2 linked regions of the Caenorhabditis elegans genome follow. The protein of the gene in region 1 purifies or fractionates together with the protein of each later gene. This does not show direct contact. Each region holds a gene or a part of one and is shown on either strand. Other genes may lie near its edges.

Region 1 (7,409 bases):
TTATACATCAGATCTCATCTCCATTTTTCCGGAATTTCAGGAAATGAGAAAGAGCACAACCTTCTTAGACATCAAAAACTAACATGTTCTTGAAATTTCTGATTGCGGCGGAAAAAACTGAAAGCGGAAAAAAACTGAAAATTCTGAAAAATTAGATAAAGGTAGTCAATGAGCCGAAAGGTAGTCAATGATCTAAGGTAGTCAAAGAGCAAAAGGTAGTCAATGAGCCGAAAGGTAGTCAATATTCTAAGGTAGTCAAAGAGCAAAAGGTAGTCAAAGAGAAGGTAGTCAATGAGTGTTTGCCACAAAAACTGGACAATTAAACAACTAGTAGCTTAAGTTGACAAGTTGCAATGTACATCCTCTTCTCATTTCGATAAATCAAAAGTTTTGATGAAAACGAGGTTCCTGAAAAAAAGCGGTGTGACAGGGAATTTGCGGAAATAAAAAAAAAATTATTATACTTCAGTTCTTTTTCTTTACGAATTAATCACAAATGTGTTTAATGTAAGAACAATACATGATGCAGAAAAATGTCCATATACTACTAGTAAACTAGAAAATGTCAGCAAGTTAGTAAATCTGAGTTCAAAGTAAATGAACTATTTCTTAGTAAATGACTGAGAGTAAAAAATGAGTAAATTAGACCTTGAAGTAAATGAACTCTTTTTCAGTAAACGAGAGAAAGTGAAATCGCTAGTAAATTAGACGTCGAAGTAAAAGTGCCACTTACGTAAACGAGTGATTTAGTAAATTAGACTATTAGTTAATGAGGGTTTGCCCTAATTTTTCTATGCACCTCCTTTTAGAATTTTCAGGAGAAAAATGGATTACTATATGAATCGCATTTCGAGAAATTCATAAATCTGAGATACATGTAACTGCTACAAAAATTTTCTCGAAATAATCTTGGAACTCTCGAATAAAACATTCAACAGGAAGAAAAAAGAAAGAAGAATATAAATTTAACAAATTTAATACTAAGAATTCGGTTTCAAAATTTAGGAATAGGGTATGTAATACATTGATTTCAAAAATTAAAAGTACGGGGAAAATTTTTTCGAGAAAGAAAATAAAAAATTTATGCAGAAAGTGATCATTATTTTGTTAATTGCAAAAAACATTATCAAGTTGGAAGATGTTGTCATAAAGTCATCAGAATGATTAGATTGATATGAATATATCTCATATATCAAAACTAAAAAGAATGGCAAATGGGTGTGGTTTTGACCACTGATTCTTCTCTCTGTCTTCTCCTTCTTTTTCTCTTCTTTTCCTTTTCCTTCACTTTTTATCCAAAATTCATTGTTTCTGAAAATGTGATGCTCCGGAGATGAATTTCTTGCCTTCTCGATTCCAAATTAAATTCTTCCCGCCCGTCTTTTCGTGCAATCTGGAGCTGTGAGCGTCTTTTTTGTTGGTGAAAACAATGTGTTCTGGTGGTGGGTGTGGTGCTCTTTGGCATCTGCTAACAATTTCAAATTAGATCCACAACTATTTCTGAGCTCCTAGAACTATTTTTCATTGTTGACGTTAAGCTCTTTTGAAAAAAATGCTTATATTTCCCGTGATCACTATACTTCATATATTTTTGGTAACTTTTTGAAATATCTTCTAAAATGAATTTAATATGTAACAATATTCTAACAAAATTTTTAATATTGATCAGATAGTTTTTCCAAATTTAAGTATTAACCAGGCGCGAAATTTTCCGAATTTTAGGCCAAAAATACGGTGCCCGGTCTCGACACGAATTTTTTTATTAGGTAAAAATGGGTGTGTGCCTTTAAAGAGTACTGTAACTTTAAACTTTCGTTGCTGCGGAACTTTTGTCGACTTTTCATAGCTATTAGATAAAAATAAAAAAATATTCAATATTTTCAACAAATCTTTAGAAAAACTATGTAAAATCGATAAAAATTCTGCAACAAAAATTTGAAGTTACAGTACTCTTTAAAGGCACACACTCGATTGTATTTAACAAAAAAAGTCGTGTCGAGACCGGTTACCGTAATTTTTGCGCAAATCGGAATAATTTCGCGCTTGGGTAATAAGCATCACATCTCCAACTAATTTAAAAGCAAAAGTGTGATTTTTAAATTCAGATTTCGGTTGAATCTGGAAAAGAATGCGAGTTTGCAATGCGATTGGTCCCAGGATTCAATCCACTTCGTCAAGTTGATGCAAATGGAAAAGAATGCCGAGGAAACGTGGAATTGCCATTTTGCAAGGGTTACTGTAAGACTAGCGAGGTGAATTTCCTTTTTTTTCCGATTCAAAAATAATCCAATTAAATTTCAGAGTGGCACCCATGGCTTTCCACCACGAGTTCAAAATAGTAAAGTGTGCACATTGGTCACCACTTCAACTCGAAAAGTAGTTCTTGATGATTGTGATGATGGAGCCGATGAGAGTGTCAAGTTTGTAATGGTTCCACATGGAACTGATTGTGAATGTTCTGCAGTTCCACTTGAACAACATCATTCATAAATTATCATACATTCATTCAAAAATTCATCGAATAAATAAAAGTTTTGTGTATGCTTGTTTTAATCAAATACAGGGTTAATTTTTAATATAAATAGATCGTGGAATAATCAATTCACAATTTTGTCGTTCTGTCTCGTCCCATTTTCATTCGTTTCGCATCAAGTTTCGCTGGACTTGGGGATCGTGACCGATTGGAGTCTATCTGAAAAATTTCAAAAAGGTGAAAGAAAAAATGACTTTCAAGAAACTCACAACTTTCTTTGAAACGAGACATGTTTTGCAGTAATATTTGAAACTAGGTTCCGATGCTTCTTCAATCGAAACTGTAGGGATACTGCATGCCATGTGGTAACAATCTCGACATCTTCTACAAGCGAGAACTTGATTTCCAGCTAATGAGACTCCGTGGCATACTGCACAGGGCTGGAAAATATATATTTATGATAACATTTGTTTATTTAATTATTTTACCTGTTCACTTGTACAATAGATTGAATCGTCAATAACTGGCACTAGTTTCTTCAATTTCTTCTGAAAACATAATTTATTTTGAAAATAGATCCAAAATTAAAAATCCCTTACCATTCCACCAGGAGCAGAGGACGATGAAGCACCAGACTTGTCTATTACAAATCCAGATTTATTTAAAATCTGTGGAGGAGCATACATCAATCGTTGAGTTCCGGCAATTCGTTTTTGTGGATTCAGCATATTTGGATTGAGTTTCGAAACATTACCCGAATCCATTGTGAAAGAATCTGTGTAAAAGTTGTTTGTGCTGGAAGAAAGTGACCATGTCTGAAAAAATGGATGAGATATTGATTTCACAATTCATATTTCATGAAACCTTGGCAACCAATTCAGAAAATTCTTTATCAGTGCTTTTATCGATAGATTTCATAAACTTGATGAGTGTCGAAATGTATGCATTCGCATCGAATTTTTCTTCTTCAGGAGATTCTGACGTGTCTTGTTTCTCATCAATCATCAGAATATCATCATCAACGTCTGTCATCTTTATTTAAAATCTGAAAATTTTTGATTCGTTTTTTTCTCATTGGTGAGAACGAGGAGGAAATAGAACGGATTGAACTTTGAACAATTTTTGAAACATTTTGAATAGAAATTCTGTATTTTTATTTTCAGGATACTTTTATAATAAGAATAACAATCAAAAACAAAAAGAAAAATAAGCCTATTAAAAATTCTAAATTACAAAAAAACAAAATATCGAATCAAACAACTGGTGGCATCAATGGATCCTCTTCTGCTTCCGCCTCTTGAAGAATCTTGTCCTTGTAGTCCATATATCTGAAAATTTCCCATTTATCTCTAAAGTTCTTTGGGAGTAATTTTTTCACTTGTGTAGTGGCTTTTCGATTTTTTCTGAGAAAATAAAAACTGCAAAATCTAAAACAAATATGTTCGATTTTTAAAAATCGGGGAACAAAATGTTCGGGAAGTTACCCATAAAACGCAATTCTAACTTTGTTTATGCTGATGACTATTTCTCGAAAAATCAAAAATTCGTTTCGAAATATCGGAAAAATGAAAACTAAAAACATTTTTAACCGGTTACCTTGGTATTATTTTGTTTTTTTTCGTTTACTTTTATTTCTATTTTTTTCAAAATTTTTAAAATATTGTTTTTCAATAAGTTTCATTTCAAGAAAAAAGCGTTGCTGCTACACCAGGGCTGTATCCTTATTGGTTATTTTGGTATTTTGACGAAAAATTGATTTTTTGGTTTTGAAACCAAAAAACCGAAACATTTTTCAATTATCAGCGTTTTTTGAAAAGTAATTCAATTTTTTTTGGTTTTTCGCAAATTTAAATTGTTTTGTTTTTTGATCCAAAATTATTTTTTTGGTCCCAGCCCTGTGCTACACAAGTGACGTTTTTTAATTGTTAATTTTCCAAATATTAACCTGTATTTCTTATTCATCGGCCCAGCTCTATGCATTTGTGTGAGAAGTCGTTCTTCAACTCTTTCCAATGCACTTCGTGACAGAACAATAGTATCGTATTTCATTAATGAGAAGCAATTCAGACCATACACTGGCATCACATTGAGCCACGGAAGAGCTTGTTGAGCTTCAGCAAGTCCACCGCTAATCTCATCACAATCATCAACGAAAAGAACAGAGTATCCGTAGTTTCGAGCTTCGCAAAGCTGGAATTTTTGAAATTAAAACAGAAAATGATTTTTCTATAGATAACTTACATCAATCCAATATTTAGGGTCTCCATTCTGTAAGTTTTGAATTTTGTCAACAATATGCAAATCGTCTTGTGTGTGCTTTAGAGTGAGAGCAACACAAAGTCCCTGAATTCTGACTGCGTCTGGAAGCATGTAGAACCACGTTCTCGGTCCACGAACACCATTTGCGAAACCTCCTCGAATAAATTGTGGGGAACGAATAGAACCAACGTGAGCCCGTCCAGTCTTCTTTTGAGGCCACGGCTTTCTACCCCCTCCGGGCATTTCAGCTTTTGTCAACATTTTCGTCATTTGCACATTTCGATATACACTTTGCCACGTGAGGTTACGGTGTAGAATATCGATACGCGGTGATGTTCTGAAAATGTCTGGATGGAGATCCACGAGTCCGAGCTTCTCATCTTCGATGGTATCCAAATTTGAAACCCAAGCTTGTGGAGTTTTGATGAATGGATTTTCTGGTTTTCGCCATAATTCTCTTCGTGTATCGATGGATTCGCCAGATGAAGTCGAGGAAACATCCTGAACAGCCGATGAGAATGCTCGACTTGAAATTAAAAAACGCAGCTGCCTGGAGAGCATCTGAAAAGGGATAAGGTGTATAAATAATTTTAAAAAACCAAAAAAAAAGAAAGATATGTTCTAACACTGTTCGTTTACAGTAGTGATTCAAAATTACGATTTGAAAGCAATATTTTGATTTTTTAAATAGGTAAACAACTGGATATTTAGAAAATGAAGAAACAATCAGAAAACAAGGAAAACAAAAGATCTAATCAAAAATTTTGAAATCTTGAAACTAAATACTAAAAATTAAAATTTATTTTCCTTGCTGCTGACGTTTTCGTTCTTCTTGTCCTTTTCGAACGGCTTCCTTGAACATTCTGAGCAAATATTCAGTGGATTGTGGTGTATCATCGTTTGCAGGAACCAAATATGTCAAGTAAGCCGGATCCGAATTCGAGTCAACTACTCCAATTGTGGGAATCGCCATTTTTGCGGCTTCAACGATGGCTGGATGGTTTTCGCCGAGTGATGTGAGGGTTGACAGGAAGCAGACAGCATCTGGAAGTCGAACTGAAGCTCCGAGAAGTTGTCGAGTGTTCGTTAGAGTTCCTGATTGCCACTTTCGAACGTGAGAGTATTGCCCAACCTGGAAAATAACACCTTTTCAAATTTTTTTTTGTAAAATTTTTTTGCTTGATTTTTAAAGATTACTGTTTAAAAGACATACATTTTTACAGTAACATTCACAACTAGAAAACAATGGTGAATATTTTCTGAATAAAAAAAAACAGCTCAGGATCGCAAATTCCGCAGAAACAAATAATCTCGCAAGATTATTAATTATCGGATCAAAGTATGTTCACATCACTGCTGTTATGAAAACTCGAACCATGAATCATTTTCCAATAGATTGGTGTTCTCACCCCTACACCACCATGCACACTGTCTCACCTCATCTGCTGCCTTCTCAACATCAAACATGGTGTCTCGATTGGAAGTGACAAAAAGAATCATTCCACCGCGCAATGACACATGAGCAACGAAATTTAGAGCTCTGACGAGATATTTTTTGGTAATATCGAGGTCGAAGAGGCAAACTCCAAGACGTTCACCGTACAGGGCCCACTTCATATTGTTGTTTACTGTTCCGACCTAAAAAAAATTATATTAGTTGTTAATTCAACTTCTCAAGCTTAAAATAAATTTTAAAAAATGCGAAAAAATCCCGAAGTTTTTTTCGTAATTTTCCAGTGCAATTTTCGAAGAAAAGAAAATTGGGAAATCGACTTTTAAACGTATTTCATTCATTTTTTTTAACAGTTAGAACCGCCTTTCTTTAAATAGACTACCTTATGTCCGTAGTGAAGTCTTGCTTTAAACATCTCATCGATATGGACCATTTTTTCAAAATTAAATAAATCTTCATGTTGAAGTGACGCGGAAACGAATGGCTTCAACACTGTTGGCTGGACTGTTCCTTTTTCAAGAGTTGCACGATCCGGAACAGACGACGATGATGAAGTAGATGCAACTGGTTTCTGGAAACAAAGAATTCTAAATTATATTTTTGGTAAATGGTTACCTGCTGCGACGCGGAAAATCGTGTCGAGAAGGCTCTTTCTGTACGGATTGCAGCTGCTACAACTCGTCTCATCTGGAAATTCGTGTTGAAAGAAAACATGGTAAGTAACTAGTAAGTTAGAAAATAAGTAATAATCAATTTGGATACAGAAACCAAAGAATCGATAATTCAAAGATATTTTGCAAACTGAAAACAAACAAGTTCATAGAAGCATAAAATTTGATTTGAAATGTATTTCGATATCTCTGAGAACAATGTGAATGTACTGTACCAACCGAGAAAATTCGTGTGCTATGAAAGGAAAGAAGACGGGGAGGCGGGGTTCACTAGTCTGAATTACTCAATCAATAAAATATGAAAACAAAAATCGAAATATGAATAATTATTTAGCTGATTATATAAAATACATGAAAGAAAAACACGGGGGACTTATGGCATTCTATTGAGATGATTCTTGAATATTTCTGAATCTACTGATGGATTGTGACTGTTGGAGAGATCGCAGCAATAATTGGCAAACAAGAGTAGAGTTGTCATCACTTTTTGCTAATTTTTAGACATGGAAACATTGGAATCTCTTCTGAAAACGACCAAACGACATTTCTGTCC
Region 2 (7,391 bases), 5.9 Mb from region 1:
AATTCCTACATATAAGCTATTGTATGGAGAACGGAAAAAGGGGTGGAGATTATAGGGGAAAACACATTCAATATTGATTCAACATTAGATTGAGAAGTTCAGGTGAACGAAAGAGATCAACAAGGAATATCAAAAGTTCGGATTATGTGTGTGCCATTTTCACGCCTTTTTTGGGACTTTTACAAAATTTTAAACAGAAATTGACATCCGGTTTTGGAAGATTTTTATAACCTGGAATTTTTTATCCTTATCGATCAAGAAATGCAATTCTACGGGACTGAATATAATGGAAAATACGCTGAAAGCATTTTCTTCAACAATTTCAGGGTAAATTTTATTCAGTTTCCTTGTCTCTCTTGTCTACTTTCTTAATGAAAAACAAATTTATTTTTTTGATCTTCAATTTTTTTTTAAATTTTAAAGGATATTTTATTAGCAGCCTCGCGATTGTTTTGGCAGTTTTTCGCGATTATATTCATGAAGGCGTAGGGAAGGTTACTGTGTATGAGAACCGTCTCTCAAGTCGTCATTGTTTAAGAACTGAATGATTTCTTGTCAGAAACTCAAAAAAATTAGAGTGGTATTTCACCCTACATTTGGTAAGTGAGAAAAACTTTATGTGGAGAGTACATCTTGTAAGGAAGCGTCGAATCCATTTTTAAAAATTATTCGATTTTTGATGTATTACAAAAAACATTTCGGTCAATCCTTTCAAAAGTTTGGCAATAAGCCGATCTGCAAAATTACAGCCTTGGGTAAGGACTTGTCGTAATCTTGGTAGACTACATAAAACTTTTTTTCAACGATGTGCCCATGCGCCCACCACTCTTCCGTATTTCTATTTAGTTTGAACATATAGAAAAAGATAATTGACGTATTAGATTTCTCTGATCTTTGTAAAAGATAATTTTTTCTCAATTAACAACATTGATGACGTCCATTAAATCCTTACAAAGTGTATGCGATATGTCGTTTGCTTTCCTTTTCAGGCTACATACGCTTTTTTTCGAGAGAAAGTTATCTAAACTGAATTGAAAAAATTAAAAGAAAGCTGTTTTCAAAAATTGAGTTTTCGCGATGTTTGCATTGTCAAAAATTCGAATGTCCAAAGTATTCAGTTATTATTGTTGTTTTTGGTATTGTTTTTGATTTACCAACAACCAAAAACCAAAACTGCCTGCAATCTTTTTCCATTTCTCTTATTTTGTTGCATTACCACCAACAAGTATTTCTCACACACATTTTCAATCGTAAACGCCTTCTCATTTCCATCTATTCTCATTTCAGTTTGACCTTACAACTAAAAATGTCAGAACTTCTTACTACGTACAGGCCAATTAAAATTCTTCTCCAACTTGATCCCAATCTGGGAAATAACTCATACAATGGTAGAGTAAAAATCGATTACGAGTTCACAGGAGAAACATCGGAGATCAAAATTCAAACATCTAGAGATTTTCAGTGGACTTCTGTCAGACTTGCCACGTTTTACGATTTCAATGAAGGATGTCCTGTGTGTAAGTTTTTAAACTTAAGTCTATTTAAAAGATTTGAATCAGTAAAATTTTGATTAATGTTGAGCAATCAACGTCCAAATAAAAAATGTTTTTAAGGCAGTCAACCTTTTTGGTAAATTGCCGAATTTTTCAAAAATGTGGACTTTTGTTTAAATATTTTTCCAAATTTCAGATGCAAGTGTTGATTGTGAAAACTATGTCCATGATGCCGAATCAGAGATACTGACTCTTCCATTGGGAAACCCCCTCACTCCTGAAACTACTGAAAATGGATTCTACATTGAATTAGAATGGACTGGACCTATAAATCCTCAGGGAGAAACTACTGGACTTTATGCAATTGATGAAAGTACTATTGAAGCAAATATGAAAGATGGGAATGCTCATAAAGTATTTCCATGTTATGAGGGAGGAGTTTCTGCAAAGTTCTGGCTGACTGTGATAACTGATGAAAGAACTAGAGTTGAAACTAATATGGTATGCTTTTGGAAAAGCAGAGTTTTGATTTTGATAAATGTTTCAGGATGACGCTGGGCACGAAGAATTCGAAGGAAGAGTGAAGAATAACTTTTTAAAAGAAGAAGAACTTACTATTGAAGATGTTTACATTTATGTCACACCAATTATCGATATGGAATAGTGTTTCCAATTTTTTTTGAACAATTAATTTACCGAATCAATGAATAAGTTTTTTTATTCATATATGTATGTGTTCCCTGGATGTTTCATAAGTATGACAAATTTACTAAATGTTCACGTGTGCTTGGGGGGTACGTATCAAGAAGTTGCTAGTTTCCGAAAATTTTTGGACTTGGCGTTTTTTTCTGATTTGTTAGGGGTCTCGAGTTAATCGTCCTATGTGGGTGAACTTCATAAAAATATTTTTTCTGCCTCTTCCTATATTAAATCCTGAAATTGCATTCTTGACAGAAATAAAAAATAAGGGCACGTTGTCGTAATGGGGTGTCCCGAGAAATGTGACTGCACTTTGAGAGCTTATATCTTGGCTTAGGGTTGGCGGTTTCTTGAGCAATTTGTTTCAATAGCTTATAAAAATAGCGCCTTCCATCGTCATCATTGTGGGGGAGCTTTTGGGAAGGCTAAAACACTGATTTGAGCGGAATTCTGGAGTATGGTCGAAATGGATGTATTCTTTGTACTGACGAATTTCATGTTTTTTCAGCCCCAAATCTTCAGTTTTTCTGACATTTGGTTCCAATTTGTGCGCAAGAGAGAACTTCGTATTTCCAATTTTTTGAAACTATTTTGAAAAAAATTGGCGCACTTTCCAAAATGTAGGCCATCATTCAATTTTTGCAAAATCAAAAAGATTGATTAAACGTGAAAAACTTTTCTACCACTCTCTCTCTTTCTCTATTTTTGGTGATGAATTCGATAATTTTCATTTCTTATTTTTAATAACGTGAGGAAAACTCAATTTTGAAGACTTTTCGAGATTTTTACTTTTTCCCTAATCTAATTGAGGGCCGCACTTTTTGAACATGTTGGCTACTTTTAACCTGACTTCCAGCAGGACAGGCTGGAGGCCTGCAATGCTATTGTATTTCACTCAAACCCAAAAATCAGGGATTAGGGCCACCTTCTTACTCTTTGAAACTTTAGGCCTTTTCTATCCCTACACCCAGCAGAGCAGGCTGGAGGCCTTCTCTGAGAGGTATGTTTCTATAACTACGTATGTTTTTGGAAAAGTAATGAAAAAGGTCACCTAGGTCAGTTAACCGGATTGAGGGCCAGAGGCCCGAATACACAAAACGTATTGGACAGCCGTTAAGCCTATACTGAGCCCAAAAACTCGAGTTGAGAGCCACAGGCCCGAATACACGAAGAAGTGTTGGAGATCCGTCAAGCCTATTCTTAGCATAATAATTCAGTTCGAGTGTCGCAAGCCCAAATAGACGCAGATGCGTTGGACAACTGTTAAGCCTATTTTAAGCAAAAAAATTTGAAAAAATTTTTATTTCTAAAATTAATATTAAACTAAATTTGGCCGGTCTTGACAAACTTCAGCACATTTACTTGGCATTTACTCAACACTTGACTAAACTTTAGCGAATAAAGCGAATTATTCTTGAGTTACTCTACGCCGAACTAAACTGCGAAGCCTAGCAACTCTCCGATTTGCTAGTCAAGATAAGTTTATAAATTCAAAACAATGGCATTGAAATGTTTTGTTTATTTTTTTTCTGATTTTCCGAGGAGAAAATATTTACAAATTCAATCGATGTTTTTTCATTTTTCTCTATCTCTTACGGGTGCACGTGTTCCTCCTACAAACCAGTTTTCACTCGTATCAAACTGTCGAGGCCGTCTCATTTCTGTCATTTATTCTCTGATTCTATTGAAATATGTCGGAACTTCTCACCACATATCGGCCGACTAGATACATGCTCCAACTCGATCCAAATATGGCAAACAAGACTTACTGCGGAAAAGTGAGAGTCGACTATGAATTCACTGCAGAAACTTCGGAAATCAAAATTCAAGCATCAAGGGATTTTCAATGGACTTCTATTAGGCTGATCAATTTTTACGCTGTATACCTGGAATGTCCCATTTGTAAGTTAATTTAAATTTTGAAACGGTTTTTTTTTTGGTTTTTTTCTCAATAGTAATTGTGCTGAAAAAATTATGGACTCAAATTTTGAATTTCAAGACATTACAAAACAATACAACTTCCCAAGTTTCAGATGCAAGTGTGTTATGTGACGACTATAACCATGATCTGGAATCTGAGATTCTTACACTTTCACTGGACACACCGCTAACCCCAGACAATACACAAAATGGATTCTACATTGAATTAGAATTTACTGGACCCATAATTATTGCAGGGCAAACTACTGGCCTCTTTGCGGTTGATGAGAACTCAATTACGGCAAATATGAAAGATGGAAATGCACATAAAGTTGCACCATGTTATGAAGGTGTTGCTATCAAGACCTGGCTGACTGTGATAGGTGGTGAAGGATCACAGGTAGAAACTAACTTGGTAAGGATTTCGATATCTTCAGCACATTAAAAAAAAATCAATTTCCGCATCAAACAAACATAATCCTATTTTTGTATATTTTTCAGAATAGCGATGGACAGGAAGACTTTGAAGGTCGCGTCAAGAAGAACTTCATAACGGATGAGGAAATTACTATTGAAAATCTATGCATTAATGTTTCTAATTTTTCTTGAAACATCTTTTTTTATGTGAATAGATTAATATTTCTAATTTTTTCTACCCCAATTTCTATTTTGCCATAAAGATTTTCCAAGTATTGGAATTCCGATTTTATTTCAGTTATATCACAAGAAAAATAGGAAAAACAATTATAGCACCAAACAAAGCAAACACCAGATTATTCGATATCTGCAAAATCCGGAAGTCTATTCAAGGTGGGCCATAGTTATACGGACTACTTCTCTTTTCATAGAGGTGAATAATCTAGGTTAGAATATACTATAAATCATCAAATAATTTGCAGGCATAATTTAATAAGATTGAGAAAAATGAAACCAAATTTGCGTGGTTCATTTTGATCAGCATGTGACTTATTTTGTTTCTTTTTCCATTTTAATAGCACACATTTTTGAGAATCTATTTAACTTGTTCCACCACGCAGTGTAGGCGTAACAATTTCAAAGACAGCCAACCTCGTGTGATTCAGATCTAATTGAGTCAAAGCTCGAGGTAACTGAATTTTCAGACCTCCGATTTTCCATGTTCCGAATAATATTTTCAAATGCGTAATAACATCTGATTATTATTATTATTTGTTTTCGAGCCATTTTTCAGCAATAAATTTTTATCAGTTCCTCATTTCGGGTAAGTTTTTTGTTTTAAATTAAAGTTCGAAACACTAAACTTTAAAACATTCAACTTGCTGATTATTTGTCTGCTCTTGTGATTTTGCACTTAATTTTATAATGGTATGTATATAAACATAATAGAATTTACACGTAATAAGCAGAATTTATATCAAATAGAATAGCATTTAACATCTGTCATACCAATAATCCATAACACCCAATGACTTCTACAGCTCCCCCGGAAAGTGAATCTTCGGATGACATTGGTCCACCTGCGGAACTTGGTCCGATTATCCGTAGTTATCACTTTTACAATGATCTGGTTGCCGGTGTATTAAGCATTATGCTCAATGTTCTTGTGATATTAGTATTTACTACACGGATATCAACTGCTTCAAAACTATTCAAAAAAGTGATGACAGTTACAAAACTTGTCGAGATGTTGTTTAGCGCAAGTTATATTTTGACAGCTCCGGTAAGTCAACTTCTGATGAGTAACGGTGATGGGTGGCATTTAATCAAAATAATGTATTGTAATTTCAGGTATTCACATCAATTTCGGTCGATGATTCATTTACTGGTCTTATGATTGTTAATACTGGGTGGCAATTCAATTTCTATTATAGTCAAATTGTTCTTGCCGCGGCACTTGTTTTTCTAACTCAACAAATTTTTCTAGCCCCTTGGCTTTACTACATTAGATATGATCAAGTTTGCAAGTATGTTTTAGATGTTCTAACTCAATTTACAAGATTGAAGTTATTTTCCAGAAAACATGGTGTTAGATGTATCGATTTCTTAAAAATGCTAATTATCAATTTAATTTTTCAAGTTCTCACATCAGTGAGCCTTTGCTTTTCGTCTTTCCCAACTAGTAAGGACATAACCGAGCTTCAATTTGTTGCCAATAAGTTTACTGGTTCAAACTCTGCATTTCTTCTTTTATCATATACGGTTGAAAAACTTTGAAGAATAATAAAACGGGTTTTTTTTTTCAGAAAGAAGTGGATACTGTCAGGGAACAGATTGAACACGTCGGATCAATAATGTCTGCGGTTGCTTACGTATTAACTTTAATCTTGTCAATTTTGGTCATGATTTTGTGCACGATAAAAATCAATTTAAAAGTTCGAGAATCAAAAAACTCAAGTAACAATTTATTGGTACTGCAGAAGAAGATGAATCGAGTTTTATTGGCACAGGTAATCCTTTAGATTTTACTCTATATTCTTTAATTTCAACATTTTCAGTTCTTCTGTCCATTAATATTCATTCAAGCTCCATTCTACTATTCAGTCCTTGGTCCGATAGTTGGACTTTCCCAAGGCCTTGTTACAGACCTTCTCCCTCTCCTTTTTGCCTGGTCACCTGTTGTAAACACCCTTTTTATATTCATTCTAAATTCGGAAATTCGAAATGCATTGATCGGAAAACAACATGTATCAACTTCTGAAGTTCGGTCATTTGCAAATAAAAGCTGATTCTAAATCAAAAAATCTTTTTTTTCTGTATCATTTGCGTCTGTGTTTTTGTCTCTTAACATTGGGTTTATTTGTTTGTTGGTTTCTTACCACATTTCTGGATATTTTTAATAAATCGATTTATTTGTGAATATGTTTTGTCTTACAATTAAATCTTTTGCTCAAGACATCGACAATTTTTCGGTAGGTTTTTTCTAATAATGAAGCAAACATGTTACATTCTGAAGTGCTCACAAATTGGCGTTGAACTAAATTAAATTTTTAAAATATAATTTTAACATAGTCTACATAGTTGAAGAATAATTCCAATTTATGTTGTGTTGTAAGTAGCATTTTATTTGTGACTGATAGTGAGATCAACTATACAACCCGGTTAATATCATCACCCAGTCAGTATAGATGTAACACATTTGCTAGTGGCATGAGTCAATGGAGTATGTTTCCCTTGATAATTTAATTGTCAGGTGCTGGATTAAGTATCGAGTATTATTATTTGTATCAATATTGGAAACTCGCGCCAATTATTCGTTTGCAGACTCACATTATTGAACTATGAATTTTGAAAAGTTCTTGT

The links.
Region 2: the proteins of phf-30 (region 1) and F47B8.8 fractionate together in Caenorhabditis elegans (co-fractionation; one large-scale study listed by BioGRID). This does not show direct contact.

Annotation. Positions count from the first base shown.
Region 1 is NC_003283.11:8,465,149-8,472,557, reverse strand, and holds phf-30 (PHD-type domain-containing protein), read right to left. Parts: upstream 3,519-7,409; 5' UTR 3,506-3,518; coding exon 3,338-3,505; intron 3,289-3,337; coding exon 3,073-3,288; intron 3,022-3,072; coding exon 2,962-3,021; intron 2,914-2,961; coding exon 2,743-2,913; intron 2,693-2,742; coding exon 2,603-2,692; 3' UTR 2,491-2,602; downstream 1-2,490. Other genes in the region: gplb-1 (Glycoprotein hormone subunit beta domain-containing protein), read left to right, coding at 1,553-1,594, 2,106-2,252, 2,302-2,490; mrpl-4 (Large ribosomal subunit protein uL4m), read right to left, coding at 3,726-3,801, 4,419-4,663, 4,715-5,293; mrps-2 (Small ribosomal subunit protein uS2m), read right to left, coding at 5,532-5,864, 6,170-6,370, 6,568-6,756, 6,801-6,872; natc-1 (Protein MAK10 homolog), read right to left, coding at 7,337-7,409.
Region 2 is NC_003283.11:14,327,860-14,335,250, forward strand, and holds F47B8.8 (Aminopeptidase N-like N-terminal domain-containing protein), read left to right. Parts: upstream 1-3,814; 5' UTR 3,815-3,883; coding exon 3,884-4,094; intron 4,095-4,225; coding exon 4,226-4,527; intron 4,528-4,613; coding exon 4,614-4,721; 3' UTR 4,722-4,808; downstream 4,809-7,391. Other genes in the region: pepm-1 (Aminopeptidase N-like N-terminal domain-containing protein), read left to right, coding at 1,307-1,517, 1,690-1,994, 2,041-2,157; srm-4 (Serpentine Receptor, class M), read left to right, coding at 5,557-5,811, 5,880-6,055, 6,107-6,290, 6,335-6,538, 6,587-6,817; srm-5 (Serpentine Receptor, class M), read left to right, coding at 7,370-7,391.